Struthio camelus: one gene and its partner. The protein of the gene in region 2 purifies or fractionates together with the protein of the main gene of each other region. This does not show direct contact. Links are inferred from orthologs where the notes say so. Each region holds a gene or a part of one and is shown on either strand. Other genes may lie near its edges. The genes, in order: COL5A1 and MMP2.

The links.
Region 1: the proteins of MMP2 (region 2) and COL5A1 purify together in Homo sapiens (co-immunoprecipitation; 3 studies listed by BioGRID and IntAct, counting the BioPlex papers as one, with this or other methods). This does not show direct contact. The link is inferred for Struthio camelus from reciprocal best matches to the Homo sapiens genes MMP2 and COL5A1.

Annotation. Positions count from the first base shown.
Region 1 is NC_090961.1:4,289,323-4,304,996, forward strand, and holds the start of COL5A1 (collagen alpha-1(V) chain), read right to left. Parts: upstream 8,041-15,674; 5' UTR 7,645-8,040; coding exon 7,545-7,644; intron 1-7,544. UniProt on the Homo sapiens protein: Type V collagen is a member of group I collagen (fibrillar forming collagen). It is a minor connective tissue component of nearly ubiquitous distribution. Type V collagen binds to DNA, heparan sulfate, thrombospondin, heparin, and insulin.
Region 2 is NC_090951.1:20,205,430-20,221,296, reverse strand, and holds the start of MMP2 (72 kDa type IV collagenase), read right to left. Parts: upstream 5,912-15,867; 5' UTR 5,691-5,911; coding exon 5,547-5,690; intron 2,007-5,546; coding exon 1,780-2,006; intron 1-1,779.

The DNA of each region.
Region 1 (15,674 bases), on a different chromosome or scaffold from region 2:
ATGTTGCCAATCTAAGTGTTTTTTCCATATAGCATTGGATTTTAACAAAGATTTTCCATTCTTGCATGCTCCTCTTGCCTTTTTTGGTTTTGGTCCCTTCACATTTTGGGGTTTTTTGTTTCACACAAAGGTTTCTATTTACAGACTTTTTTTTTTTTTTTAAAAAGAAAAGACTGGCCAGCGTGCAGACTCAGCATATATCACATGTGCTCCACTCTAGTTAGTAAGAATAAAAGCTTTGATATGCAGCAAGGCAAGACTGCAACTGGAGAACAGTCCCAGGAACCTCTCTTGAACAAGCCAGGAGGGCAGAAGAGAGGGCTAGCACTGCACTGATCAACTGCTGAAGGTAAAAGCAGGTAACTGAGGGAACCCAGCAGGCAGAGGAAAGTTTTCCTGAGAGCCTGGCAACTGCATTCTGCTTATATCAGTCAAAGATGTGCACCCACAGTTAACCAGCAAAGCTGCTATCTTAGAGCATTCCTATGGGCTTTGCTGATGTCCAGCCACAGGGAGACACAGCTGGGCGCTAGCAGAGCAACCTGCCTCTGAAAGAATCCTCTGGTCCTCAGGACACTCCAGCTAGTGCAGAAGGCTTCAGCTCAACAGTAAAATAAATGTAAGTATTTCTGACTGGTCCTGCACACCCTACACCCAGAAATCACCTGGAAAGGATTTCTGTCTCTGGACCTTACCAAAACCTTCACCACTCACATCTTCCTGTCCTGGTCTACTTCATCCTGGACACAGGATCCATCTGCCCATAGCCTTCCTACAGCTAGCACGCCACTGACCTAGGGTGTGCGGCAGGTCTTGCGACGGCTCCACTAGCAGCCCTTTTCAAGCAACACCATTTAGGGTGGAAAGCTCTTTCAAAAATCTCCTAAGACCTCCGCAAAATAACACCACCCAATTAGCAAAGGATAAAAACCCACCAATATCTTCAAACTGATACTCCTGACAGCTCTGTACAATAGCTGCACTCCAAAGAGGTCATAACTGGATAAAATTCAAATAATGAAAATAATGAAAGAGCTAAAAGGAAAAAAGAATACTAAACAGCCCTGATCAAGAGGGACATTACTAAGTGCAAAAAAGCCTCTGTATATCTTAATAAACTCAAAGTTTGGAAAGAAACACCAGCAAGAAGCGATGTCTTTTATTGCATGGGATCTCCCTGGGGACTCCCCCCACTATGCCACCCATCACAGGGAGCCAAGGGGGAAGCCACATGAGAGGACAGCAACAGCCAGCATCTTGGCCTGACGCGTGCCATGAGTCACAGTCCCTAACAACCATCACTTGCCTTTACATAGACCTATTGGGGGGGAGGGGGGGGCAGCTGTCAAGTGCACAGCAGGGAGGCAATCCACCTTATAACCCCATCCAGGATTTCCAAGCAGCCTCCTCACTTCCAAATTTTTATCTCAAATTCATGAAGGCTAAACCAGGGCTTTAAGAGCTTAATGAAAGGCCCTGCGTGCCTACTCAGATAGTACAAGCGTAATCAATAAAGCTCAATTTACATACTTCAGTACCAGGTACTACCACTTAGATCAAACAAGACTTGCAATAAATCCAGGACAGAAGGTTGCACTCCAGCACCACCAAGACACTAAAAGCTAGAAAAGACATACATGTGTAGAGCAGGGAAACCAGCAGAGATAGATATTATCTAACATAATTATTCTCTTCTTTAAAACAGCAATTGCCATTTACCAAAGCCTAAGCATTTAAAAGTTATAATTGTGTTTTCAGCAAAACACAAGTGATGTTTTAAGTCTTTCTCTGTAAAAGAACTCATTTTATAGAAAGATAGCTGCTTTGAGGAGATTCCTACCAAATAACCAAGCTAGAGCATACACGAACAGGCATGTACATATGTGGGAAAGTGTCAAATTCATGTGTAAAACAGCAGGGACCTCCCCCATCTCAGGGACTGCTGTGCTTCAAAATTCATGTTTTGCCTTAGTGTGAACTCTAAATGTGATCATTCTTCCCAAATGATCCCAAACCTTGGGCCTATACTCCAAATTGCTTTATATACAGACAGGCCCTTATCTCTCTAACGTAAGTAACAACCAGCAGGCCAACAGAGAGGCTCTTAATTCAACTATAGGGAAGCTCTTTAAACCCAAGCAGCACCAGCTACAACAGGCACACCATCTGAGCACGATCAAGCAGGAGTCCCATCACAGCACCTCTCCACCTGCAATGCACTCACCAATATCCCACAACCCCGGGCTCAGCTCTCCACTCTCCCCTCATTCCAGATCCTCCTATCCTCCAGATGTTTCTACAGGCAACCACGCAAACACACAAATAGCAAAACCATGAATCACTGTGGTGATGCCCAATTTGAACACTCATCTATCTCCTGTTCATCACCTCTCTGTTGGCCAGCTGGCCTGGTCCCCCTTCTCCCACCGCTCCAAACATTTCTTTGCACAACAGCAAGTAAGACTGCAGGTCTGCTGGGCCAGAAAGCTTCTAATCCTCAACTTGCTCATGTGGAAACGTTCACTGCCCTATTGCTCAGTGCAGTCTTCTAAGTTTGATACTTTCTTGTCTATAGAAAGCAATTTGCCATCTTCCAGCCGCTCTGGGAAGGACTACGCAGTATCCCACACTGCAACATGTCCCCAGCATCCTGCCCACTCGCACATCACAAGCGCTTCACTAGCGACCATGACCCAAACCAAATAATCCTCCTCCCAGGCAATAAGCACAATATCACAGCTTTTCACAAAAGGAGAGATTTTTAACTCAACAGGAAAGCAAGAGCACAGTGTCCTTAAAGCACTTTCATCTCTACTACACTACTGGCATGCTCTCCAGCAGGCAAGGGAGAGCTCCAGCCAAGAGCACAGGAATTACTCAGGACTAGGGATCTGGGTAAGCATACATTATTGCACTCGTGGACAAAGGTCAGTCTTAAAAACACTCAGTTCTTTTACAGACACCTGCCAATTCCTTATCTTTTACAACCAGAACCAATTTCCACTGAAGCCAGCAGGCAACTTTCCATCAACATGAAAGAAACCTGGATCAGGCCCTATGAACACAGATATTCCATTCTCCAACATTGAACTTCTGCTCCAAGAAATATATTTGGAGTTGAAACAGATTAAAACAAAAAGTGTAGGGAGAGGGATGGGGCATGGAGCAGGAGGGAGCACCAGGGCATAAAACAAAAAGTAAAAGAAGTAATTGCCAAAAAATTAAATGGGCAATTTGCTCTTCCTCTGCAGAAAAGAAACTCAGATTGAAAAGCAGTTTCCTTGCAAGTCCTCCCACAGGTTTATTTCTGAAGTCCAGATGCAAAACCTAGACTACCTAAAATACATCTATAAACGGTGCTTCATACAAACGTGCCTGCTTTAGTGACGTATGCCATAGCAGCACCGTCTGCCTCTTCACATCTGTTGCCACGCTGTGTCTCCTTTTCAACGCTATCTGTAACTCAAAGCAGTTGTGAGAAAGCATACTCGCTTTAAAACTACAAACTGAAGCCAGGCTTCAGGACACATGGGGAAACTTCGAGGCCAGGACTCTGCACCAAAGTAGAGGGTCAGGCAGCATCAGGACAGAACTGCATCTTCAGTGCTAGAGGAAAATAGCCAGGCAGGTGCTGCATGTTAGGCACCTATGGCCCATTAGGGGTCTGGACCTTGGTCCTGGGACAGTGGCAGAGAATTTCCTGCCAAAACTCTGAGAAAAGAAAAGCTACTTCAAAATTAAAAGCATTATGCTGAGTATCACACACAGCACAGATGCTGGTAAATACCATCGGTGCAGAGAAACGACATGCAAAACAAGCTCTCTTCGGAACGACCTTTAGACCAAGCCCAGTTAATAAGGACAGCGTAGTTAAGATGACCAAGCAGAAGACAGAATTGGGAACACCACATAATTGATATCTAATACTTAAAAGGATACTATAATTATTTCATAAAATTATTTTCTATGACATTAGATAAAGGAGGGATTAACTACCCAAGCCAGCGTAGCACAGACCTGTGGCATAAACTGGAAGCTGGGCTCTGCGCAAGGCCTGGCTTCCTCATGCACACACCCCCTCCTGGACCTGCAGCTCCACATCTGGATCACATCCCACAGCACAGGGGAAGAGGAGCTTGGAAAGCTGGAACCACCAAGTCACCCAAGGGCTTCTCGCTGACAGATGTTAGCGCATCCCCTGCAACACTGTTCTGACTTCCAGTGGTCATGAAACAGAATCTGACTGATGAGATTTGCTCACCGTTAAAAAGAACAAACCCGTAAAGGAAAGCCCATCTCCTGAAACTACAACATGCAATGGGCAGGGGGCAGTACCCACTTAAAACAAGGACACATATCCCCTTTACAGTCCTTTCCCATTTGTCCTAGGGCAGCCTTCATATCTTGCAAGCCCTAGCACTAAGGCCAATACAGTTTGGTTTATCGGATTACCCTTGGTTTTAAACAGAGGTTTTATCTGCAAAGACCCAATACTGGATATCTAACATAGTGATACCCATCAAGAGGTAATCTTCAGACTAGGAAAAAATGAGAGCTCAGTAGCCAGAGTTCAATGCCAACAGATAAAGAGTGCACACTGTTCCGCCTCTTCGGACACCAAAAGTCAGTTCACAGTCCCGAGACTGCAACTCCCGCACTCAGCAATTCTGCCTGACTGCAGGGAAGAGATCAGCGAGTAACCTTTAAAAACTGCCTCTAGAAGGGAATAGTTTGAAAAGATTTGTCATCACGTCCCTAGTTTATAGAGAAGAGTAATATATCGCTTAAGTTGAACGCCTCTGGTCCATCCTCTGGATGGAGCATGTACAACAGTTGCGTTTCTTTTAAGCTACAAAGTCGTGTTCCAAACAGGCAACACACTGACAGCATAATCCAGGTTTTACACTGGAAATCAGATCCATCACCAATTCCAAACTTAAAGTCATATTTCTTCTTATAAAACAATATCAAGATTTTTCAATTGGCAAAATATTAAACAAAACTGTTCTATCTGGCTGAATACTAAGAATATTTTTTAAGCTCCTTCTAAAGGACTGGGGAACAGCCAAGGAGAGAAGCAACAGATGGTAACAAGATACTTCATAATCTCCACTATTTGTATTTCTTTTAAAGGACATACCATGTATTCTCATTATACTTTTCTTTGCCACTAAAGGAAACTGCTGCTTCCAAAAATTTTTGTCCAGAAGCCTGATTCAGTTTTATTGGGATTTGTTAGAAAAAGATACTCCAACTTTGCGGGTTAGATTGGAGCGTGACATCATCTGTTTAAAAAATGAGAAAAGTATGATTTGGAAGGGCAGCGTTCAGCTGCACTTCACAGTTCGTGTCACTTCTGACATAGTGAAGCGTCTTTGACGGTTTATTCTGGAAACCCTTGGGCTAGCTTTCTTCCCCCTCTTTTCTGCACAACCTGACTGATGTGTTTCTGAAGATTTTAAGTGTTTTGCCTCACTCCATACAGAGGGACTGCCTAAAATGAAACTGAAACAGAAACAATCTGAGCTGATAAAAAAAACAGCTTGGAAGGCTAAAAAAGAGCTCTAAAGGGGTATTAGTCAATGCCATCAGCTGTCCAAATCTGACTCCTCCCTCATCTAAATTGATAGCCTATTAGGAGGCTCATTAGGAAAATTCAAAGCCTTTCACTGCCAGAGTCGCTGCTCAGAGCGGCAAGTTGGCCCTGCAGCAGCTCTCCAGCCTCCCACCGCATCGCATCGCTGGCTCCAGCTACACAGACCACTGCTTCCCAGAGCTGCACCCACAGCTGTGACAGAAGTCACAGAAAAGTTACCAGTAACTTTAAAGAGTGCTAGGTCTTATGCTGAAGCTGTTCAGAGAAGATACACTGACAGGCAACGTTCCTAAGGATGCTCTGAAACCACTGAAATACTAGCACAATGACAGAGGGCAGAAAAAAACTATTATTTCCTTTGAAACAGCGGAGACTAGTAATAATTCAGCTTCCAGCTAACAAAGTAACAGTGGCCTGATGCCACTGGCTGCATAAAAAAAGGGGATTAAGTTGTTAGTACTGTTCCAATAGTCTTTAGTCGGAGAAAACTGCTCTAAATAATAATCCAATGCTTTTGCAATACAATACAATCTCTTCAGTAACTCTGACTGCCATTATTTTTTTTTCCTAGCAGTGATGTACTAGAAGCATTTTATTCATTGGTGAACAACTTCTTTCCATCTTGCTCAGAACTTGCAAGCAAACTGTTGACGAAAGCATTCCTCGTGCTACCGCCTTTTATTTTCTTCCTTAAAGTTATTTTAAGAGCCTAGAAACTACAATAATTGACAATTACACCACTATATAACAAAATTCCCCACACATTTGTCCCAGTAACATACAAACAACCCAGCAACTACCACCTGCTGAGCTTCCAGGATAGAAGAAAATATCCAAAACTTGCATGAACTTGAGCATGAAAGCTCAATCTCGGGCAGATCAGCTATTCCGCATGCTTTTAGCTTAGTTTCCTAAGAATCCCACAAAACTCTTATCTACTTTAACTTTGCAGATTTCAAAATCAGCTCTGCCCACAAACCACTTATTCTTTCTAACATTATTTAAAATGATCTCAGAGCATGGATGCCTCCCTAGCATCTCCCACAGCCACAGAAAATACCCTGAAAACAGAACTTTTGGAGTAAATCCACAAGTATCCATCTATCCTGCTCTGGTATTTCACAATTCACCACGGGGAGCGCAGATATTTGGAAAGCGGAGCCCTTTGAAACACACAGGGTAACCGAAGCCTCCAGCTAGCAAAATAAAGTGCTTAATCCCTTCTTCGGCACGACTTTTAAAATGACATTTCAGGGGGGTTTGCTGCCGTTTTGCCTACCTAGGACTGTTTTGCATCTCGTTCTTCACAGCACTTCCTCTAGCCACAGTCGGCAGTAGTAATTTGAGGGAGAAACGGCAAAGTTGGGTTAGGGAAGTGCAGAGGGGACAGAGTGTGTGCCTTGGAGTCCGGAGCAGAAAAGTCGGCAAAGCTTTTGTGCACCGAGATCTGCCGCTTTGAAGCGGGGAGAGAAGAGCAAATTCCTTCTCGACAAAAGTTTCCTCTCCTCAAGGAGGAGGAGGAGGAACTATGCACGAAGAGAGTTTTCCAGTTAAATATACACATGTATTCACACACACGTATAAATACACACATACAAACAGAATTAGAAGCTCTAGAAACACATACTGACTTCTGCTCCAGAAAAAAAGCACAGCAACAGGCAGATCTGCTTAAGACGAGGGGGGAAAGCATTGTTTTAAGTTTTTTCCCTTTTACGGGCCCCCTGACAAACGGCATTCAGAGACTCGGGCAGCTAAAGGGTTTTTTTCCTCTCTCGCTCGCTCTTTTTGGAAGGCATCGAGTAAGAAAAGACAAACGTTTTGCAAAGCACAAAAGCCAGCTCTCTCTCCCTCTCGCTGTTTGCGCCAAATTTCCAAAAAAGCTCCAGCTCCCCAAAGGCTTCCTCCGTACGCGGGCGACGCTCGCGCTCCCCGCGCGGCCGCTTACCTGCACCGCCCAGGGACGCGGCGCCCAGCAGGAGCAGCGCTGCGGGCACCGGCCAGCTCCGTATCCAGCTTCGCCTTTTCCACCGTGTGTGCGTATCCATGGTCCACAAAAAAAGGGGCACCAGCTCGGGACAACTCGGCAAGCACCGAAAAAAAAAAACTGAGAAAAAGGAGGAGAAAAGGAAGGAGGGGGCGCAAAAAAATTAAAAAAAAAAACACACACACGCGAAGAAAAGCCGCTCAAGACCCCCCCCTGCCTCCCCCCCCCCAGAGAGCAGCCGCTTTATAAAGCCATGGGGCTGTCGGGGGGCTCCACCGCGCTCGCCCCTTCCCCTGCTTGCTGCCGGAGCGAAAACTTTCTTTCTCTCCCCCCCACCCCTCCTTTTTTTCTTCTTTTAAAGCCAAGGCGAGAGTTTGTCAATCTCGGAGCCGCGCAGCAAATCAGAGCCGGGCGGTGCGGCCCCCTGCGCGGCGCGGCGCAGCCCGGCCCCCCCCCCGGCCCGGCCGGCCCCCGGCCCGGCCCCCCCGGCAAGTTTGAACCGTCGGGGCCGCGCGGCCGCGGCTCGCAACCCGCCACCCCTTTGTCCCTGCTCGCCACTAGCTTCCCTCCCAGAAATTACCCCAAACCTGAAGGTCTTTGCTTCCCCCTACCCCCACCTCCCCCTTTTCCTTCTGGCTTCAGAGAGAGAGAGATGGAGGCAGGGTGCTTTCAGAAGGGGACATGGTGGCAGATGTCAACGAGGATTTGGCCAAAGGAGGTTGCCAATGCAAAGCACACATGCAAAGGGTAAAAGTGCAGCTGGGAAAGCACTGAAAGGGAAGGCGTTATCCCCTGCCAGGTTAACTCAACAGTTGTGATGGTGAAACGCTTCCCTGGCAAACAGCCAAGGAGGACAGTCAACTATTAAAACTGTTGCCTTCAGGCTGTGCACATCAGTTTGCACACTGTCTAGCCAAGGCACTCCTCTGCTCCCATTGCTCTTCCTTTCACTAAGCTACCCAGCACTGCTCATCTTCACACTCTGGTGACCGCCAATACATCACACTTTGGTAACAAACATCAGCTCCAAATGATTTTACTAGTTCTGGTGCTGTACAGCACTGAAATTAGTACAGTAGCAAAAAAAAAAAACGGCAACAGCCAGTCTCTACTTCCCCACACCACATCCCTTCCCCTGGCACCACCCTCTCTCAGGCCCCAAAGGAGGGGAGGGACCCTCGGCAAGGCAGTGCTAGGTGGCCTGCAATGCTACAGACTCCTTGATAAACCCAAAATCAGGTCATCAGGATACTGGACAGGGTGGAACATCTGAAGGAATAATCAGTACAACAGAGGCTTATGTCAAGCTTCAGCTATTTGTTCAGCGTAAACCTCTTTGGCCTGCTGGAATGAGAGTTTCTCATATAGGTAAGTGATATTAATAGCATGTCAAAACCCATGAGCACAGAAGCCCAAATCCCACCATATCTCCAGAAGGGAGCAAGAGGGAATAGGTGTTCCCAATCAACTCAGCTTGTAGCCTAGTAAAGAGGCTAATGGTTCAGTGGAGAAGAGCCATAGCAAATATCTTCCCATTTACCTGCAAACCTGTTGAGATGCCTTCCCCTGCTAGCAGCCTCCCCATGAAACTGGGAAGACTAGGACAAGAGCCACACAAGAGACTGCTGAGAGATTCTTTCATGCAGAAAGACAGGTGAAAGGCATATTGGCTGCAATCCCTTGAGTCACGAGCTGGGGAGAACAAGATACTCCAAGCACTTGTTTGCTGTAACCACGTGCCAGGCAGGTACAGCACCAGTGACACTCGTGGGCAAATCACCCAGATGAAAGCCCCTTCCACAATACCCCTTTCATGAGTAACCAGATCACTAGAGACAGATTAGGTGAAGCTCCCTATCTGTGGGGAGCCTGGAGGCAAGTTCTTTCAGCGTAAGTAACACCTGGGCCTCCCTGTAAACTTCTCTGCAGAGCACTCAGCAGATGCAACCCAGCAAGGGAAGTGCTCCCCATCTCTATAACACCTCCTGCTCCAAAATACGCCATTTCTCACAGGTTCGCAGCTACCTTTGGTATGGGGCAGAGCAGCCACCCCACAGCTCACAAACACTGTGCAACAGTCAGAGGGAGATATTTTCTCATCTGGAAAAGCAGAACATCCCAGGCATACAGATATGTAACTAGGACAGTTAAAAGAACCAGCAAACTGATTGCAAAAGCCCACCTTCCCGGTAACCCTTTTTACTACAATAAAGACATAAAGCAATAACTTGATCCACACCATTTCCATGGATGCCTAATTTCTTGATCAGAGGCCTAATAACCTTTGAAAGGCACAACCAACCCGAACAGTGAGAGATGGGGCGTTGTCTGATTTCAGTCTTGCAGTTAAGTGAATGCCAGGATCTCGTTAGTCTTCCCATCCCAGAAGTTGCTGGCATTTCTGAGCATACAAACAACCCATTGTTGTGAAATGAGACCCTTTTTGTCTTCACCAGCTGCAAATGAAAATCCCACTAACACCTGGACACTGTCTGCAACTCAGGTGTTGAAATTCTCTGCCCTTTCAAGAGCATACAGCATTAGGAAGGGAGGGAAATCTCTAAAGCAGTGAAAGCACTGCAGGCGAGGAAGTAAAGGCAGGTTAGAGCAGTAAAACACACTAAACACACCACCCATATTCCAAGGGCTCCCACTGCTCAACTCAGGAAGCAAGCCAGAAATAGCCCAAACCTAGACCTTCATCTGATGCAAAGCAGCTTTGCTTTATAGCAGTTGAGAATCTGGCCAAAAAAAGCTTTTTGCACAACAGTAAGAGTTTAGTTTCCAGTTGCTTTCCAGGTGATTTAGAAGCTTGCACAGACCTGTTTGCCCCTCCTCAACAACAACAGAAAATACCAAAATAAGCTTGCAATGGCAAACTGGAAAATTCCAGCATTCTCCTGCCAAGTTTGAGGAGCTAACCTCCAAAGCAGTGGGCCAGATCGTGTGGTGGTGCAAGCAGCAAGTAGATTTACACTAGTTGGATTGGTTCATGCCAGCTCCAAATCCCTCCAAGCAGCCAGTTGGGGCAATAACTGAATATCCAAAAGACTGGATTGCAACAGTGGCAGATGGCCAAATATCTTTCAGGAACAACAGTTATTTTTAAAAGTATTTTCATGACTGAAAGCATCTTGAGTTCAGCTAGCTGTTGTTTACAAGGTGGAGGACACATTTGCAAGCTCTCAAAAAACCTCAAGATGCATAGGTAGAAAATTTGATAGACATTTATACTAGGAAATCAGTTTAACATTAGCATTCAGCCAAAAACTATAAAAGGCATTATTCTGTAGTTTGAACATAACTATTGCAACAATCAGAAAGCAAGAACACTACTAGGAGTTACTGATGACCAGTTACGCCCTATGACCAGGGGATGAGAACAGATTAAAAGCGATACTTCTTAAAACTGCCTGTCTGAGCTGTTGCACGAGTAATCAAAAAAACTGTTCCAGTCAGGAATGATTTAAATGCTCCTTATAAAGAATATCTAAAAATAGTTTCACTCTTTCAATCTTATGCCTGTCTTTATTTTCTTTGCTAACAAATACAGTTGCATCCCCACCCCTAGCTCAACCTTTATGAATTATCTTGTGCTGAAGTCATAATCCTGACTTATGACCTCACACTTGTTGCCATGGCAATGATTGCTCTCCTAAATTCAACTTATGACTTAAGAAAAAGTGAGAATTCAGTGCTACTGAAAGGCTTTGGATCAAGAGGCTTGGAAACTAAAGCTGTCATTTATCCACAAAGGAGATACCATTCAGAAAAGCTTCATGCTCTGATGACATTTATGGTATTAATAGTCACATGGATTTTTTTTTTTTTTTAATAATTGTGCAGCAAGTAGCTGTTATAGCAGACACCATGGCTGCTATATCAGATCCACATGCTCGCGCCCTAAAAAGTCCTTTATTCATTTCAGCAGGATGACTCATTGCAATAGGTATTACTCAAAAGGAGCAAGCATGGCAAAGCAGAGCAAAGGGTCTGGCACATAGGGTATCCTGACAGCTTACCCCATGTCTCCAGTCTCAGCTGCACTGTTCTGTGTGGTCCTTTAACTTGGGCAAAATGTTTACTGTACTGACTCAGGTCTGTACGTATCCATTTCTGGCCTGGTTAAAAGCTGCAGGGCAGCAGCAGATTCCCCAACATCTTAAACCTCTCTGAAAACATTCTCTCAAAATCATCAAACCAGCTTTTATACAACGCCATAATGAGCAACGTTAATAAATACCTATTGCAGTACTTCAAAGGACACGACACCAGAAAACGTAACAGTCAATAATACTATGTTTTAGCTGAACCTTAAGCTGGCTGGTGACATGATGAATGTAGCTCCCAAATGTGGAAAACTCAAAACTCCTCCCAGGGTTAAAGCTGTTTCTCCAAGATGGACAAGACAACAATAAAAATAACACTCCACTTCTGTAGTTAAACGCTTGTTTTGGCTTTTCAGGCCAATTTCTTTATGAAACAGTTAGCCCTGCAAGAGTCTAGGAGCTGGACAGGCAATTCTTCCAGATTTCATCTGCTCTGGTGGAAATTTAGAGCCGACTTTTGCCATGGGGTGGCACCAGGACAAATCCCACCAGAAGGAAAGAGCATAGTGCCGCCAACACAAGGTGGGGCTTGTTTTTCCTTATGTTTAAATGTTTCTCATAGTCAAAGAGGTTTGTTTAATAGAGGAAATATCTTTATAACGAGAACAGACTTTCCACTCCTCCTCTTTTTCCAGTGTTGTTGCCTTCTCTTCAGTTTAATGCTAATGACTCCAACTCTTATGTGTTCAGACTGTGCTGGTGTATCAAGCACAGCAGAAGGGCAAAAATTGCATGAAAGTGCCTATTGAGAAGCATGAACTCAGTTCACCTTCTTAGATGAAAAGGTAATAAAGGTCAATTCTTTTCACTCCCAACATCAGCCTGGAAGACCCACAAGAGAGTTGCCATTCCCTCTCCCATCCCTGCATTTCACTTCATGCCCTGTGATCTATGGTCAGATGGCCTAGGCTAAGCCCTCAGAAAGATAACCCATGGTGCTACAGCAAGTGTCACACTGACCACAAAGCTGCACGTTATCATCATAAAGAACTGATTTACCCTATGATCTTCACAAGGGTCAAAAATGAAGATGTTCAAGTTACTTAGACCCGCACTGACCCCAGCAACGGTTTTGTTGGATACAGATTGCAGAGTTAATTTTTTAGCTTAAGTTTATCCATCATAATCATGTATGTGAAGATCAAAGGTGAGCCCAAACCACAAGATTTATGTGCAGGGTCAAAATGCCCCACTGACATTTGTGTCAAGGAGTTAAGTTTGGGTGCCCCTCCAGTAGGAATATTTTCATCTAGAAGACAATGGTGTTTGTTCTCAAGCCTTGCCACAAGACAGACTTAACATTTTCCCCAGGGATGAAGGCAGATGGGCAGCACTCAAACAGATGACAGCTTACACTTTGCATGTTAACAGTGATCACAAGTTTACTTAACACACCATCACAATATATATTTTTCAGCGATTGTTAGCTTTCCCCCACATGGTTATTCCAAGAAGGTGGATGAGCATTTCTGCTGGTGGAGCCCAGTTTTGAGAACTGAGGCCCCTCTCTGTGCTGCCTTAGATTTCCTCGAATAATAGTCAGGACAGATGTCAGCTGTGATTATACCCATCAGCCTTCCCTCACTACCTGCTTCTTCATGTCTTCATCATGCTTTTTTTTTGCCAAATATTCTATGCACAGTTATTTGATATTAGTAAAGACCGGGTTCAGTGGCTTCTAAAGATGAACAGGCTTTAGCGCCATATCAAGGAAAAGCCAGCATTTCATTCTCCCTTCCACAATTAGCTACAATTCGATTCTTAGGCAGAGGTTTTTCCTAGTGAGAGATTTGCAGAATCCTACCCAGGAAAACCCTGAACATGAAATATAAGTTACTAGAAATCTTGGGTTATCAGACTGAATACATTAAGTCAGAAACTGTAAATATTAATCTACAGGATGTGGAATAACTTTTGCAAGCATGGCTTTAAAAGCAGGGCAATCTAGCCTCTCTGCCCTGGAAAGATTTCCTATGAAGAAAAGTTTCCAAAGTGTTTGTGCTTTTTTTTTTTTTTTTTTTGGGGGGGGGGGGGTGAGGGGTGTTATAGCAGTTCCATAGCTCTGTATTCCCAAAAGCAGGCATGAATCTTGCAGCTCATGCCACTTGCACTCAGCAAGTGACCAGCTCAGGTCTAAGCATATGAAATCTGTGAAGGGTATAACACCAAAGAGGCAGAGTATTAAGCTGGGCATAAATAGGATTGTGGTTGAAAATTCAGCAGCATAAAATTCGGACTAAACTGTTAGGAAAATCCTTACATTAAGATCTAGTCAGCTATGGAAGATCTAAAAGACTTCCCAAAGGAAGTGATGAAAAATCCCATTGCTTGAGTCATTTCAAATTAGTCTGGACAAAGCTATAGACTGCTGAGAACAATCCTGCCTAGCCTGAGTGGGTTAGATGACCAGAGAGATCTTTTCCACTGAGGGTTTCTGCAGTTCAGTAATCCTGAAAAAATGTGGGTGAATTTCACAAAGCATGGTCACAGCACCAATAGACAAGCCTCATGCTCCTGGCTCTGCTCCCACCAGCAAGCTAGCTAGAGTCTTCTCATCTCAAGCCCCAGGCTGCTGGGATGTGCTAGACATCCTAGCATGCCTTTATCTGCTTTGTTCATGGGGTGCACACACTCTTCAGGACAGGGAACTTCATTTGCTAGGCTTCTCCCCCACCACAAACTGGCAAAAAGTCACCGGGGCAGGTTTTACCACTGTCCAAACATATCCATAATTGGCATCATTAATGTGTTCTACTAAAGTCTAGTAGCTGATTAAAGCAGCTGGGTACTTCTTGGTTGTACCAGCTGACAGTCCTCTTTCCTCCTCTTTTCTGAGGAAGGATTAGAGGATGAATAGATCAACTTCAAACTTAGAAGGGAAAACATAGATGAAAATTGCTTGGAAAAATGAAATCTAATATTCCTGTCAATTCACCACATAGCAGCTTGGAACTTGTGTTATTTCCATTTATAATTTTACATTAACAGTTTCATTGAAAATGACACATTCTGTAGATTCCCCTTTGCTTTTGCAAGATTACAGGTTAATTCCGCTGAGTGCTTCTGGAGAGATAAAACCCTTAATTTTGTCTTCTTTTCCTTTGTTGAAGTAGTGGTTTAGAAATTATAATACAAGGATGCTACAAGCACCCACCCATCAAAAAGCAATTCATACAACAGGCCACAGTCTTGGTATGTCTAAGCTACTTTCTAAACAGAGGGGAAACAAAGTGTCAGGCAAAGTAGTCATTTTTGTGGATGAATCATTCAAAGAATCCAGTCCAACTACCTAGTGGTCTCTGACATGACTAATTTTTACTTCTGTCTGCTCAGTGTTTCCAGTAAGTCACCTTCTCAGATGCATCAGCACCTTGCCACAAGTCCCCACGGTAACTTACTCCCTTCCCCCCACCAGTGATGAGTTTTCCAGTTTGGGGAACTCGTGGGTAAATCAGCTAGCATGTCCTAAGGTGCAGATCTCAGCCAGAACGTGTCAGATCCCTAACCCTTAACAGCCAGGGACATGGTGTTCATGCCCAGATTATATACCAATACACTATTCCTGACCACCCCATCACATACTAGTGCTGGCCACAGCACCGGGTTAATGCTCCAGCTTTTCAGCAGGCGGCTCTCACCTATAACAGCCTGAAAGCCTAAACTCCAAAGCACAATCACAGCCTCAGAGTTTTGTCACCCCTCGTAGCCCTGGGAAGCCGTGTTGCGCTCCTCAGAGGTGCTGCAGACCTGTGTACAAAATTATCACCAGATATCTAATGCATATAGTCAGCTCCTAAACATTAAGACAGACATAACTGCACAGCCAACATTTGGGGGAAATTAAGTTGGCATGGAGATTTACTCAGTCCTGGCAAGAACTTTTTAAAAACTGTTAGCAATCACAATAGGAATCTAGCACTACCTTTCAGAGACAAAGGCCTGGGAGAGAAGGCTGAAAGACAGGGCTGAGTCTTGCCCCTTC
Region 2 (15,867 bases):
TAAAGACTTTGCAAGTCTTGCTCACTTTTTAGACTTGAACATATAAGCACATCCCTGATTTGTCAGAGCGCTTGAGCCTCCTCTGTGTCGGAAGAGAGTTCAATATAGTTCTGAAGGTTTCTAGAATGGATTGTTTTGCTCTTTAGTGAGACAACAGCCCTTCTCCCTCACCTTCCTAGGTAGCTGTATATTGTTTCATGGTAAATGAATGTTAATCCTTCACCAGCGTGCCAATTACATTGCCAGTAGAAAATACAGGGAAGCAGCAGAAGAAGGCAAAAGCACATAAGAGGAAGTCGTAGACTTGACCTGACAGAGGGGCAAGCTCATAAGTACGTTGCTTCCTTTTTCTTGCTGTATTCTAGTTGGACTTATTAGTGCCTTATATTGCAGCCAGCTAACCTCCCTCTAAGGAGAAGCTTCCCACCCTTTGCTGCTGCTGCACGTAATGAATGAAGCTACTTTGTGCCTAAGGAAATTGTTATCAGAGGAACGTATCAGTATGAGGAGGCTGGAGCGCGACCGCAGTCCGACAGTCAGAGTCCGTTAGACTAGTTGCAGAACGCTTTGAGTCGTAACTAGCAAAGAAGCACCAGACCAAGCAAAGCAGCTAAGACAAATCTACTCTTGCTTGCTCTCGCCGATGCTAAAGGTTTGTTCCTGGACGCCTAAGCCAATGGGATTTTTTATTATTGACTTTAATGAGAGCAATATTGGTCCCTAATTCTTTAGGGTAGTAGTAAGATATGAAAACATGTCAAACCTATTGCAGTAGGCATGTTACTTGACCTATAGCTAGTGGTCATACGTATGTGCTCAGTCTGTGACAAGTGTGAGGCAATGTGGGGCTGTTTCAATCCCTGAATGGTTTATGTTAGTCTAGCCTTATTTCATGGGTGGTTGAAATGCCTTGTACTTGCCACAGTCAAGAGTATGGAAACAAGATTAAGTAAGTACAGTTGTTTACTGAACTGGGGTAACTTGACTGCTCTTAGTCATTAGAGAATTTTATGGTCATAAATGAGACTTTTTAAACTGTTAGGAATAATGGGCATAATGAATATACCATTTTTTACTTCTTTTTAAATTTTTAAGTTCCTCACGTAGTTAGAGTATTAGGTCTTTCGGTTAGATTAGATGTTAGATTTTTAACATGAAGAGTTAGTTTTAGAGGAGTTAATAAACTCCTGCAGTTTATTTAGCAGTGTTTACTCCCGTTGCTGCTGACCATTTCTCATTTACAGCTGGTTACTTAAGTAGAATTTTATTTCATCTAGTTCCTGACTGTTGAAAAGTATAACATGAGAGACCAATCAACAGCAACTGGTAAGTGAGCAGTAGTGTTATTTCTTCTATTTTAAAAAGTGTTTGATGACCTCTGTTTTCATGACTGCTGAATACAGAGGAGTTGGTCCTCCTACACATGCTCTGCAGTTGCAAAATACTCTTGCCCTGCTGAGCGGACGGGTCGGTGGGGTACTTGTGCTCCAGATCCCTCAGGATGCTTGCAGCAGAGCACAGAACAAAACCAACATCTCATTTTCTCAACCAGAACCATGAAGTTGAGCTTTAGATTATTATTCCTTAAATTTTACAATTTGAAATTTCAGAGGTATTTGCTTGAGCATCCAGTAATTATCCAAACACAGAGGTAATCATTCAAGAAATCCTATGTGGCCTACCAAGCACTACCATACATCTGACTACTCCATTTAATTGGTTCTTAAAAGCAGTCTATTGTTATACGTATGCGTAACAACCAACAGTGCTAGCCAGTACCTGTACGTTATATGATTTTTTTCCCATTTTGGTTTTCTTGGAAAGAAGTTGTAATTGGCCACATCTGGATTACCACAGCGCGGTTTCTTCATCGTCTCAATAGTATTTTGATCCAAATCTCCAGTTTCAGGCAGCCCAAAAAATTTCTGCATTTTCTTCAAAGTATCTTTCAGTACAAATAAATTGCAATTGTCTTTTGGGCACCCATAGTATTTGTTCAGGTATTGCTTGGAAAAAAAAAAAGGCACAGAACAAAGACTTTAAAATTCATAAAGGAGAGAATTAATCACTATGAATAAATACTGCAATTCCATGTCAACTTTCACATCTGTAATTTGCAAGCTTTCTTTTGAAAATTACTATTATTAGTAACTGAGTGAGCAGCAGAATCACCTTAATTGACATAAACCATCCTTGATCACACAACATTGCTAATTAAGCAATCATTCCCTCTAATAGCTATCACCTTTACTTAATGAATTGCTTTATTAATAAGTAGAGCATAGAGCTTTAATGTAGAACTACAAAGTAAAAATGATTTTATCTTTTTTTGGTTTCTTTATGATGTATAAATCTGCTTACAGTTTTAGATTTTGTATATTTTTTTCTCCTGGAAGACTCTATGGATTATGAGGGTCTTGTCAAGTTAAGGTATCAAAGAAACCTCACAAATGAGACCACATTAATTGAGAAGAAAAAAACACTGTTTTTAAACTGCATAGAGCTATTTGAATGTTGTATGTGTTTGCTCTTGAGTCAACCATCGCACAGACCTGAGGAAGAAAGTCTTTGACAGTGTTTCAATCACCTGGATACCTTTATCCCATCAATGTCTGCTTAATATCTTCACTGAGTCCTCTAACAGATGATGGTCTTTCTGATACATCTTTAAGGTGACAGACCACAAAATTATCTCTTCTTAGAAAACAGTAGTCATAAAGGTTCAAAAAGGCAGCGCAAATCCATTTTGTCTAGTCTTTTCTATAATAATTTTAAAAGCACAGCTCTATCCCACTTCCATTTCATTCAGTATGACCTAATCAGCAGGAACAGCAGTAGTTTGAAAAAAAAAAAAAAAGTGAGCCCAAGAGCTAGGAGATGTCAGTTCCTCCCTTTTAACCATTGGAGGTGATTTGCAGACACCGCCAGGTGTGCTGTGTAAGTGCAGTAAGTCCGCCTGTGACGGCGGAGGAGCTGTGGCTTAGTCTGTTCCCTGGCAATTGCTCCAGGTAAGCAGCCGTGTCCTTCAGATGCGTATTGCTGCGTCGCGTACTTCTGTTAAACTAAACTGTAGGTACACAGCTGTGGTCTCAAATATCCATACGTGATCACCACCTTCTGTGCAATACAAAGTGACCTCACCCAAACAACTTAGTATTTTTTCCCCATAACATCAAATGTTGACAGACTGACTGTGGACTTCTTGGGGAAGGGACCAACCCTGAGAGCCTGTCTGGCAGTCTGTAGCCCGAGGTGACAGCTGCCATAACAACCTACTCATTCAAACTAAAAAGAATGACCCCGAAAAAAAGCAACCAACAAAACTTCCAGGTGTATCCTTCCACCTGGAAGGATAAATCCTTTTTCAGCTCTGCTCTTAACAGGGGAATAGCAAAATGTGGCTACGCAACAGGCTGCCTGCTAAACAGAGGTCAAGATTTACTGAAGTTGTTACACCATTTCCTTTGGAAGGTCCTCCATCCATCTACTGGCTGAGCACAGACTGCGCTTACTCTTTATGTTTTTTGTAACACCTTCTTCTGATGGGGTATTCCTCCAGTGGAGACAGCTGCACTAGCAAGCAGCGGGCACACACATCCTGTACCGGCTTCACCTTTGCTGTGACTGAGTTTCTTCTGGCTTCTCATAGTTAATGGGGCCGAGTGGCATGATGAGAAGTGCGTTAAGAGCACAAACAGGCCAGTTTGCAGGATCTATTATGATTTTAATCTCGAGGTACTTTTGACATATTATATGATGCTTCTGTCTGTATCTCCCAGTGAAGTACCGTGACACAGAACAGACCACATATCAGGACTGAAGTTTACTGAAGCAGCAGCATACTGCTCTTGCCATTTTTGGTTTGGGAGCATGATAATATAAAGCAATATAAAATGAGGCATGATAAAGAATTTTATTTCCTAGGATTATAAATATAAACCTAAGCCCTCTCAGTTTTTCCTAAAATGGTGATTTTACTGAAGATGAGAAATGAACATAACCAGCTGTTCTAGGAGAAGAGAATCCTGAAGAAAATTTAGTGTCTCTGTAAACCACATGTTGGCCTACGCTGCAAACTGCAGTTTCCCCGGAGTCAGCAGGGAGCTGTGGTGATCTGGAATTTAGATCCAGCCCGTTAATGAAACAGGGTCCAGCTGCAACACAGCAATTTGTGTCCTGCTCCTGAGTACTGGGGCTGCTCACACGGAGGGGCTGAGGGAAAGGCAGCCAGTTAGCGTCACCCAAGAATACTGCACCAAAGACAAAGAAGAGCTGCAGTGTTAACACAGCTTGTAATTTTCCTCGGAGTACACATAATAAATAGGTTGTTTGAGAGAAATAAAGATGAGAGGAGACGTGGATTGCTGTAATTGAATAAAAGCCTGACTGTGTCTAAGAAAATAGATTATTTAAGCGTGGTTAAATTACCGTTAGACATGTGTGACCCCACTCTCCTCTCCCACACACGCAGCCCCCATCCTCTGGTTGTCATGCTGCCAAGGCAAAACCCTGGATGATTTTAAGTGCTGAGGAGAGCCCTTTTGGGGTCAGTTTGTCTGCTTTTCCTAAACTTTCTGCCGCTTCCCCCGCCCCCCTGTCTGCAGATTCTCGCTCTATCCCCCCTCCGACCTCCCTTAACCTGGCAAGGTTTCCCAAGATGCATACCAGCTCCTAAAGAAAAGTGACCAACTTTCAACCCTTTATATGATAAAATAAGAATAATTTATCTCAATCTTCCTTAAAATGGAGTTACTGCTGAAGAAGAGAAATGTCTATAATTTACATGCTAAAATAAGGATAATCCATCTCAATCTCCCCTTAAATGGACTTCTCCATAATGTCATTTTTATGAAGGTCCACAGGGCTAAAATAAGGTTAGAATAAAATGCTGTAGAGCTATAGCTGTAATTTCCTAATGTCACATTCAGAAACCTAAACTCCTTTTTTTGTTCCAGATCGAATTTAGAGAAGAATATGTCTTCAAAGCTGTGATAAGATTTTTTTTTTCAAACTTAGAACTAGTCATTATGGCTTCTGAAACTCGAGCCAGCTTTCGGCTGTAGTTGCTCCTTAAAGCTGTGCTTATGCAATGCATGGTAAACAACCTGGAAAACAAAATTCTGCAAAGCTATGTGCTGCATGCATTAAGCCCAGTTTTATGTAAGTGTGCCTCCGCAACCTTCCGTTCTAAATGGTTTCAGTCAAATCTTATATGTATCTTTTTGCCCTTCTCCCCTCTTAACTGTTGGAGTCTTTTGACTATAGTCACAGTGATTTAGTGAAATTATTTTGTATGTTCGGACTTAAGGCAAAAAAAAAAAAAACCAGACTCTTTGTTGGCTTTAAAAATTTTAAGAGAGGAAACGTTACTTGGCTCTAGTTTTTACTTTTGAAAGCTGATACCTTTGCTAGCTAGCTTGCTCTTCCAGAGACTCCAGCGAGAGAATGCAACAGTCGTTTCCTAGCCTCTGCTCAAACAAGAAAGAAACATCTGCTTATGAAGAACAATAATAGAAATCTGAAGCAAAGACGAAACCAAGACTTACCACTGCTAGTTCTTTGTCTGTTTTTGGAGTGCTGTCTCCAGGAAACTTAATGATTGGTGACGGTGCAGCTAAAGTTTTGCTAAAAAGATAGACGTGGATTAATAGTACTTTAAAAATGAAGCCAAAGACAATGTGGGTCTTCATTCTGCCTAAACTTGCGCTATTCTCCTTGGAGAGAGGTTTTCCCGACCGGTTACTTTAGCTGCACGGTACACCAGTTGCTTATCTGCACATCTTAGCTCTCTGCACCGTTTTCTCTTTTGCTTGCTCTAGCAATTCCTTTGTATGTTTAAAACATCCAGATGCGCAGCCTCAAGCTACCACAAGAGGAAGTCTGAAAACTAGTGGAAACATGAGAAAAGGGCAGTTACGATTTGAGATTGCTGTGATTTTAAGGTAGCAACAGGCAGATACTTATTACTGCTGAAAGAGGCCACGTTTTCTCCTTGTTTGCATATGTGAACACATTTAGTTATGCCAGAGAGCAGCAAAGGGCAAAATCTAAGCTAATGTTCAAGTGTCCTGGGTTCATTTTACGTTTTAAAAAAATGCCTAAACGTTACTTTCTCGGCTAAGCATTTGTATTATTTTTTAGCCCCTTTTTTTGCCACAGACATGAGAATCTGCTCTAGTTGTATGTGCTTTCTCTCCTTTCAGTCAACATTTTGATTACAGATGTTGAGGCAGAGCGTGCAGGGAGCGGTGGAGCCGCGCGAGGCTGCGCTGCCCGTCCGCTCCCGCCTAGGCTGCGCGGGCTGCAGGGCTGCGTGCGCAGGGCTCCCAGGCGCTTGGCATTCACCTTGCGAGCTTGGTCTGTCACCTTCCCCTGTCTCTCTATGGAGTAAGAGAGAACCGGGCAGATTCGGCAAATACAAATGATCTCCAGCAGTTGATGTCGGGGGAATTGTACCAAATTCTCGACTCGCTTATGCAGGAGGTTGGTCCATTGCTGTAGCTGCCTTAGTCAAAGCACTGGTACAAATGTGGCCATCGTCACAGACAGTCTTCTTATTGTTTCGTTCATAATATCGCCAGCTTTGAGATGTTACTGCAAGCTGAATGTTTTTTTAGCTGAATATCCTTAATCTAGGGGCTTGGCTCATGACTCTCTAAGACTGGAGGCTGGCAGTTCTGCATGAATGAAAACTGTGTTCTAGCCAGCCACATGTCACAGAACCGGGGCTATTAACCCTCATTCCCACCACCAAGGTTCCTCTGAGCCGTGTGTCAGCACAGAGGTTGCTACGGCTTTCCTCTGAACGTTACCGGTGACAGCTTTGCGGATATGACTCTTGTTACCAAATAGGTCTGTTAATGAAAAGGAAATACTTTGCGGCTATTTGGTATTTATTCATAATATTTTGTTATTTGATTGAAAATATTTAATATTTACAATTCTGTGATTTACTCTAATATCAGTTTTGCTACCTACACCCGATCATCCCTGAACTGAGTAGTCTTACAAGGGCAAGGGTTTCGGACTGTGGGCCAGGTGGTTCAGAGAGAAAGCGCTAGCTGAAGCATTTGCTGCTCAAAGAATTCATTCGGATGAAAATCAACCACTGCAGTTGTATGGCCCCTGGGTGAATCAGCTGTGGGAAGCAGCACTTAACACGCAGGAGAGGAAGAGGAGTTAAAAAACTTCAAATGCAGAGCGACCTTTCTGTGTAAAGTAGCTTTGCGTTTAAGCCCCTCTCATCCTTCCATGTGCGAGTCCAGTGGCACCAGAGTTAAATGAATGAACAGCTTTCCCCTAACGGTTCAGCTTTGAAATTGCATCTCCTTTTTCAACCTCCTCTTCAGCAAAGAAAGCAGTCACTTCTAAGAGTTGCCTTAATCAAGAGCAATTCTGAAAATTTGATCCGGTTTTTCCACAGCCCGGCACTTGGTTCAGGGAAACGACTCTCCTGCTTTGTTTATGATGACAGCTCCTGTTTGCGTTTGGCCACAGGAAACTGGAAGAGAACAAAAGCTAAGGAAGCCTTCACTGCATGTGCCAAGTCACTCTTAGCTTATCCTTAATTAAACAAGTAAAAATATTACATGTTGCATCACAAAGTTGTGCAGTAGGCCAGAGGCTGTTGTAAATCTTAAGAGCATAAGAACTATCTCATTTTCATAAGAATTTTAACTTAATTTATGGTAGCTTGGTAGCTTTCATTTTGAAGGGTACTATAATGAAGCCATTTAAAGCTAAATGTGTCCTGGCACATTCCTGTTACGCTCATAAACCTCACTGAAACCTAATGAACACTCCAACATGCTCCTTGTGTCCTAATGAACATAGCCGCAGAAATGGATGAAGCCACTTGGGAATGGTCTGTGAGACCCTTGCAGTTTGAAAATCTCACTATATTTTGTTTCTTAACTTTGCTGGCAGGGAGAGGACCTGGAGGTCACCTTTTAAACAAATTACCTCAAGAAATGAGGAAGGCAACAGAAACCATACAGACTTGCAGTGGAATGCTGTTTCTCACCTCTGGTTGCAATTTTGCTGGCAAACTACTTTGCTGGTGCTATTTCAGCTAGTGAGCAGTGAAACAAATTATGTTCAGTTAGGAAATATAATAAATAATAGAATATTGGGTTTGTGAGTACTGGGTAAACCCATATATTGACTTTATGATCATTCAGTGAAAGGCCTTTTTATCTGTGACCGCTTGAGATCAGTAATAGTTTACAAGATCGTAACTGAGGTGCCATCTTCAGGTAATCAAAGCAAATTAAATGCTAATGACGCTTCTTTGTGAGAGAAGGAGTTCTGCCATGCTATGAGTAAATTCTGGTTTAAATATTTCTTGTCTACTCACACTTTTTGTTAAGTTCTGTGGGATCATCCTGTCCTCAGCGTGCTTTGTAGGTGATTTTCTTCCGCCTGGTTCTGCAGTGCTGCTGAATCCCGTGAATAGGGAAATTCTGCCCAAATAGGGAATTTCAGACCTCGTAGCTGGCCCTGCTTTCAGCTGGGGTGGGACGAGATGAACGAGATGTTACAGCCTGACTTATTCTGTGATCCTACCAGCCTTTCTGAATTTGAAATGACATGGCACAATCTGCATTCTGTTCTCTGACTAGATAAGCTTAAAACCAGGCAGAATCTGAAGCATTTAAATTGATGCCTTTTGACGAGTATAGATTGAGAGTTTGACTACTGTTATTATTTACTTCATAAACATTCCTTAACCCTCTATACTCTGCAGAGATTATCTCCTATATAGACTACTGACTACTGAATAGATTCATGGAAGTTAAAAAGGGGGAGGGGGGGAAGAAAAACCAGAGGAAGAGGACCCACTGAGAAGACACATCTAGCAACTTTATGGAAGAGCTGAAAGAGAAACCTAGATCTTTTTTTCTCTTAGCTTAATGCTCAGTCTGTAAAATATTTTGTCTATGTACATATTTATTACCTCTGGATTAGCTACAGAAAGCGAACACAGTTATAATTACAGCTACACCTTGTTTTTATTTGTGGAAAAATTTTACTTCAATGTTGCGTGTAGCTTCCATACCAAGGAAGAAATGTATGTTATATGCCTGGTCTCTCCTGATTCAGGAGCGAGGAACCCTGCTCTCCGGTTAACCAGGTTTGTTTCAGGTTAGAACTGCTCCATATCCAAATTTTAGAGCCACCTACTTTATGAGTAAGATGCCAGCTTTGCTTTTTAAATGCCTACTTTTATGCATTAATAGGAACTGTATGGCAGAAACCACACATTAAGGCGATGTCCGATGCCTCTTTTGAGGACATACTTCAGGAAGAATGGCAAAGAGGGAGTCATCATGTCTTGCGTTATTAAGCTGTAAGCTTCATATCTCAGTAGGTTGAACTGTGATAACAGACACATGCGCATGTATTAACATGGTGTTTTTATCAGAGGATTTTTCTGTTTTCAGAGCATTATTTTTGAAGTGATTCAGGAGTGCTCAGCAGTTTCAGGATTAGACTTCAGGTGGTGTTCTGGGTAATTTGCTGACAGAGTAAGTCATCCCAGAAAAGCACTGTAGCAACTCCTACTGTCACTAATTCCAAACTTATGTCAAAAGCTGGTGATTTCCTTGTGGTTCCAGAGAAATATGTTAGGTGGAGTGTCAATGAGCACAGTTCATGGGAGGATAATGGATTTATTCTTAGTGGGCTTCTCATTATTCTTAGTGCGTTTTCATGTTTTAACTTGAAAACTTTTACTAGGCTAAATAAATAAATAATTATCAGGAAAATTAAGGTTGCAAGAAAGTGCCTGATCATCTGATGACAGAGTCACCTGCCCATAACAGGGTGGAGTGGAGGGTGAATCTCCAAGTAAGCTCTTGCTATACTTACATATCCCCTTCTTGCATTTGCTACTTCTAGGTTCTGAGCTGTCAGTTTATAGCTTCCCATTTAGGAAACAAACCAACCATTTGATTAATGAAGATGGACCTGCATAGATTTTAGCAGAATTCTTCAAAAAGAAATCAAATGTTAAAATCAACAGCAAATTGTCAGAGTTGCGCTCTAAGGGTGTTTCATGAAGAACTTCTAAGGGAGTGGGAGACCTGAAGCTTAGGTGATGGAGAAGTTTGCCTGGGCTTGAGGAAAGGTGCCCTTGGGGCTGTCCCAGGTCCAGTTTATCCAGGTCTTTGGCTCCTTCTCAATTTGCCAGGATTGCCTTGCAACTCCTTTTTCTGTGCCCTGATCCTGTTCTGCAAGTTCTTCTGGGTCATCACTCCAGTGCCTCCTCCCTTCCTGTCTGAGGAAGAGGAGTTTATAAGGATGGGGAAAACCAAAGAGCTCCGGGAAGAAAGCCTGGGATTCACCTAAGCTAAAGGAAGCTGACACTGTTTCCCATGTCTGGCTTGTAGGCCACTGCACTTCTAGCAAAGCTTCCAGAGTGGTGCCAGCCTGAAGCTCAGCCAAACCTGGGATGCACTCACTTGTCTACTCACTGCTGCTTCCTTAGGGATACCGCTGCTAAAGATGGACCATCTGTGCAGATAGTAATGCCAGTATACTAAGGGAATACATCTTTTTTTCTGGGTGTTTTGCACCAGAGAACAATAAGCTGCAAGTACCTGCCACCTGCTTTATTCTGTGCCTGCAATACCAATTGCTGCAGTTGACTGATGGTGACGTGTACCTGTGTAGGAATAGCGAAAGGCATCGTGTTAGCAGTTTATCCATTACAGGAAAGATGTCTCTAGGAAGCAATGATTAGCCAGAGCAGGCCCCATTTGACTTTAAAAGGATTAATAACTTCAGCAAGAGCTCATTTACATTGCAGTCAAGGGAGCTCACCTAAGACTCGTATGCTGAAGAGTTGATCCAAACAGGGAGCGTAAGACTTAACTGTCCACGTCATTTATATCTGCCTTATCTGGATATCCTGTCTGCCTGCTCAGTGCTGGCTCAAACCCCTGTGATCCACATTCACAGTATCCGACCGCCACATGAGGGAGTCTTTAAACTGTTGGAAATCTGTGTGGGTGGGTGGAGGGATGAGGGGGCACAACGTACAAAGGGCCAGCAGTTGGTGCCAGATGTGATTTTCAGCATTTAAGGTAGCAATTATATTTTTGCTTTTGTTTCTCTCATCTCCTCTGTTTTGGGAAGTTAGGTCCTAAGGACATGAAGTTCCATTGACACATGGATTTGGTTTGTTAGCTTGCTGCTAAATTAGAAATGAATTTTTGGTAATTCTGTTACTCTGGACAAGGCATTTTCCATTGCATATGTTCATTATACTGCTGTCTGAAGCAGAAATTCCAGCCTGTGTCCTCAGCTGCTGTCAATTGCCATTGCAAAGCTTCTGTTGGGTGAATTGGTTCAGCGGAACTACGCTGAGCGACTTCAGTCGAAACCCCAGGCCAAGCTTACGTGTGGCACCAGCGCCAACGTCTGTGTGCCTACCTAACGCTGGCACACACTCGAGGGAAGCTTCAAAGTGCAAACTCGGTTGAGAAATTTCTGTCATCTCTACACATTTTCCTATTTTTCAGTTTTTTAATTCTGAGCAGCGTAGTTCAGACCTCCTTTAATTATTTAGTTTCAAGTATCTGGTACGACAAAATGAGATCGTCTGAGTTCGTTTCACTTGAATTTGTGGCGTTCTGGTTATTCGTTGCTGTTGAACATTCTACTAGCTAGTTAATTCAGAAATTCTGAGGCCTGCACAGATTTCGTTACAAACTGATTTCCACTACTCCTCCTTGGTCGTTGCCCGCTCTTCTCCCCAAAATTTCAATCATTAATGTAATAGATATAAAAATAAAATATATATTCTAGGTGTCTGTTTAGACACTGGTTATAGTAAGCAGCAAATGCCTGAGCTATTAACTGTTAAGGTCACTAAGAGAAATGTGTCTCTGGTGAAAATTCTGCCAGTGAGCGAAATAGCGAAAGTATGGTACTTTCATGAAAAAAGCCATAGTTTAATAAAGCAAGGGAGAGATTGTACTTTTTTTTTTTCATCCAGTGTGAACATACTTGGGTCTCTTTGGCCTTCCTTTGAAGACGTAGGCCTTGCCGATGCTTTCAAAGAAGAATAGAAGTTTAACTCTTACCAGAATTTTTCCTTCAGTACCACTGGGGAAAGACACTTAGCAAATGAAAAATGCAATGACTTGCTTATTTTGTAAGAGAAAGTGAGGGAATGGTGTTTTGGCGAAGCTTTGTGAAATTGCCCTGCTAGCTCTTATGTGATTTCAAATGTTCTAGGTGAATTAGAAAATCTGAGAGGAGACTTTTGGACCCACTTTTTCCAGTGTGCTCTACTAATACCCTTTTGTGATGCTTTTATGGTCATGTTCTAGATTTGTATTCTTGAGGACTAGGTTTCAGGAGCAGCCCATAAAACACAGGTGAACGGTTCTGCTAAGGTTTCCCAGCAGCCAACAGAACATTTGCCATCAGCTTGATGGGGAGCCGGAGCTGGACAGTAGCCCAGAATTGTCTTTCAGGAAGTCAAAGACTTCATTGTGTCTTGGTGCCATAGCATCTTTGTAAAGGGCATTTTTGCTTCCGGGTGTTTTTTTCAGGAATGTTGTTATTTTTAAGCCGTACTTTTTTTGTAGAAAACTGAGTTTTTGCATAGTCATATGGATGTACATAATGAAGCAAGTGGGTACACAGATGCTGTGGAGGTTCTTCTGTTGTTTACTAATAACAATTCAGATATTATGCAAAGCATATAATTTATTCATTAATGGGACAAGTTGATGGCAAAAGCAACATAAATCAAATCTTACTGACAGTGTGTAATTAATATAACCTGTTAGGGGGCATATAGAAATGGCCTGGAGGTCCAGTATTTACAAAGATCTATTAAACATATTCAATAGCATGACAATGATGTGGAAATTTTCCTAAACCCCCATGAGTGGGACACAAAATAAGGCTATCCCTCAGGGTGAATCTGTGAAAATACTCAGAGGAATAGTTTCTATACAATAATAATTAATATCAGAGATCACAGAGTGAACAACTTGTGTGGAATACTGCGAAATTGTGTGTTGATATGTTTTTCATTATTTGTGAATCTGAAGGACTCCCTTTTTAGCATGCAGGGCTGTTGAGTTTAAAGAGGGTCATGCTGGCCTATCAGTCAAGATAAGCGGCTTGATGAAAGAAAGGCTCGAGCGACAAGATGGCCCTGGCGTTCTCACGGGCCTTGCTTGCTAGCCCCAGCAGGTCTGGCCTGCCCACGCATCTTGTTGTGCACTGAGAGAAAACAAAATTTAAACCACACCTCAGCTGTGCAGTAAGGAAAGGTTTTAGTTTCAAGCTTTCAATTGCAGAGGAGTACGAGGAAACCTTTGTTTAGGAAAATGAGTCAAGCTAATTTGTATAAGGATTTTTTTAGTCTTGATTTATTGGCATTCTCTGAGGAGAGTGCATCTGTAAATGAGCTGTTTCCAAAGTAAACCTATGCGCTCAACATACAACATAAAAGTGTGCATCAACTTGTATTCCTTCAAAAAAAAAATCATGACTATTAGCACCTGATTTTATACACTCCCTTTTTCCCTTTTCATGTAGCTCTTGGCTCTTTCCCTTATTTACAAGGGTCTGATTCCACAGTAACTTACAAATGAGGTTATTACTTATTGTAGTAGGCTTCCCAGACAGTTTCAACATGGGAAAAATACCTAGTTATTTTTGTTGAGTGCTATTTCACTTTGTGAAGTGACTCCAAAAAATAAGTGGGGTTACTTGTAAGGAAAGGGAGATGCTTCTGGCTGGTGGCTTCTGTAATTGAAAGTGAAATGCATCTTATGGATAAAATATGTAGAGCTAATTTACTTTTAAGAGAAACTCCACACCACTGGTGGCTTGGCAGAAGAAAGAAGTCTTGTTGCTGCTCTATTTGCCTAAGCTTGGTAAACTCAGCATGATCATAAGTACTTCTGGGGACAGATCCTGCCATCCATGTTGATGTTGGCTAACGTCGTATTTTGTCAGTGATCCTGTTAATCTTAACGAGGCATCTTGCAGTGAAAGATGTGAGTAAGCATGATGGGGTCTACTCCTTGACTGGGAAGCCGGGTAGCCTCAATACACTGTACACCGTAGTAAGAACAAGAGCTAAGTTTTAAGTGCTTGCATGCTCAGCTCCTAAGCCACATAAGGCTTTGTAAGTCCTGCTTTTTGAATTTCAGAGATAGACCCTAAGGAGTACCTCCCCGAGTGAGCCATTTATCAAATTCTCGGAAGATGCACATTACTTATAAGTAGGGCCGCGCCGAAGCAGGACTGTGCCTGCCGTGGTCCTGCTGTATTCATGGGAGAGCTCTTTCCCGTAACAATCGGCAAGTGCCGTCCTGAGCGTGTCAGAATAATAGTTCTGCTTGCTTTACTGCGGCTGCTGGGCAGCCGCTTGTTGATAGGCACTGTACATCTCGCTTGTCATTATAATGTTAGTATTGAGACACCGAGGGGCCTTAATTAATGACTTTGAAGATCTGGTCTTTTATAATTCATGACAGAACTTTAATTAAAATCAAATATATAGCAGTTGAACTAGCAAAGGATTTAGAGTGCACAGTCGCTGATGGAGAAAGTGATTCCCCCTGACCGCTGGTGCTATATGCTGAATGCAAATTCCCTTTCATCACAGCACAGTCAGAGAACAGAATGAGCTTTTTTAAAGCAGAGAGGTCCCTGTTGTTATAGACTCTGGAAAAACGGTAAGGCCAAGGGGCCTGCAGTGATTTGATTCCCTCTCCCCCACCTCCCACCCCTTTCTCCTGCTTAAATTCTCATATTTAAAAGTCTGCATTGGTACAAAAGAAAAGGCTACAGATTTGTATGATGCTTACGTACTCAATTACTATTTGTAGAGATGATGAGTAAAAATGCTGTGTGGGCATCAGGTGCTCACTCCTGGACTCCTGTGAAGGCAGGAGGACAATTCCTATTTCATATAAAGGGAAACTGCTTTCACTCAAACAGTAGAGGGGAAATTAATGTGTTTGGGAAGAGTTCAGCCTGGCGCAGGAATCAAGTACATTTTTTTTCTGGCCTATGCTATGTTAGCAAGGCTTAGGCAAATACAGTCACAGAATGTATTACTGTAGATGAAACCTGTTGTGCCAGGGGATGTGTTTTTTTAATGGGACATTGAGTTTATTTCAGTTTATTTGGTCTTTGTGTATACTTTGATTCATCTGAAGTTGTTACCAAACATGCTTTTTATCCAGGGCTCTTAAAATACTGTCCAGTTACTACAGGAGGTTCTTTGAATGGACCTCATAGTCCTCCTGGTTCATCTGCCTTCTTGGGTAAAAATTCAGGTGGCATCTGTGGCTTTGATTTTACAATTATGGGTTGTATTTTAAGGATTATTGTTTGGTGTTCTGTGGGATTAGTTGATTGCTTGGGGTTTGGGGGGAGTAGAGGTGAGTGGGATCTTGCTGAATGGTCAATCTGTGTTGCTACATTTCCCCGTACTGTGTATCCTCCACTACCTGCTACATATACAAAAGGTAATAAATTAAATACAATTTACAGTTTAATGGAAATAAGGGAAATTGGTCAGTAAGTCACATTAAGGTCTGTCACAGAAAAAAATGCTGTGAGAAGGGGATGAATAATGGAAAAAATTGTATTTAAATAAATTAGTCACTGCAAGCTGGCAAAAATTCAGAAATAGCTTATTTACTAGCTATAGAAATGGTTTAACAGTAGGAAAATATGATTCACAAACCATTCTTCAACATTTGATGAAAAATTGTTTAATAAACTATTTTGAACATCATTCAACCATCTATCGTTGCCATCTTTACCTTTACAGTGACAGTAATTCCTTAATATAATCAATATAAAAATAACTGCCCTGTAAAG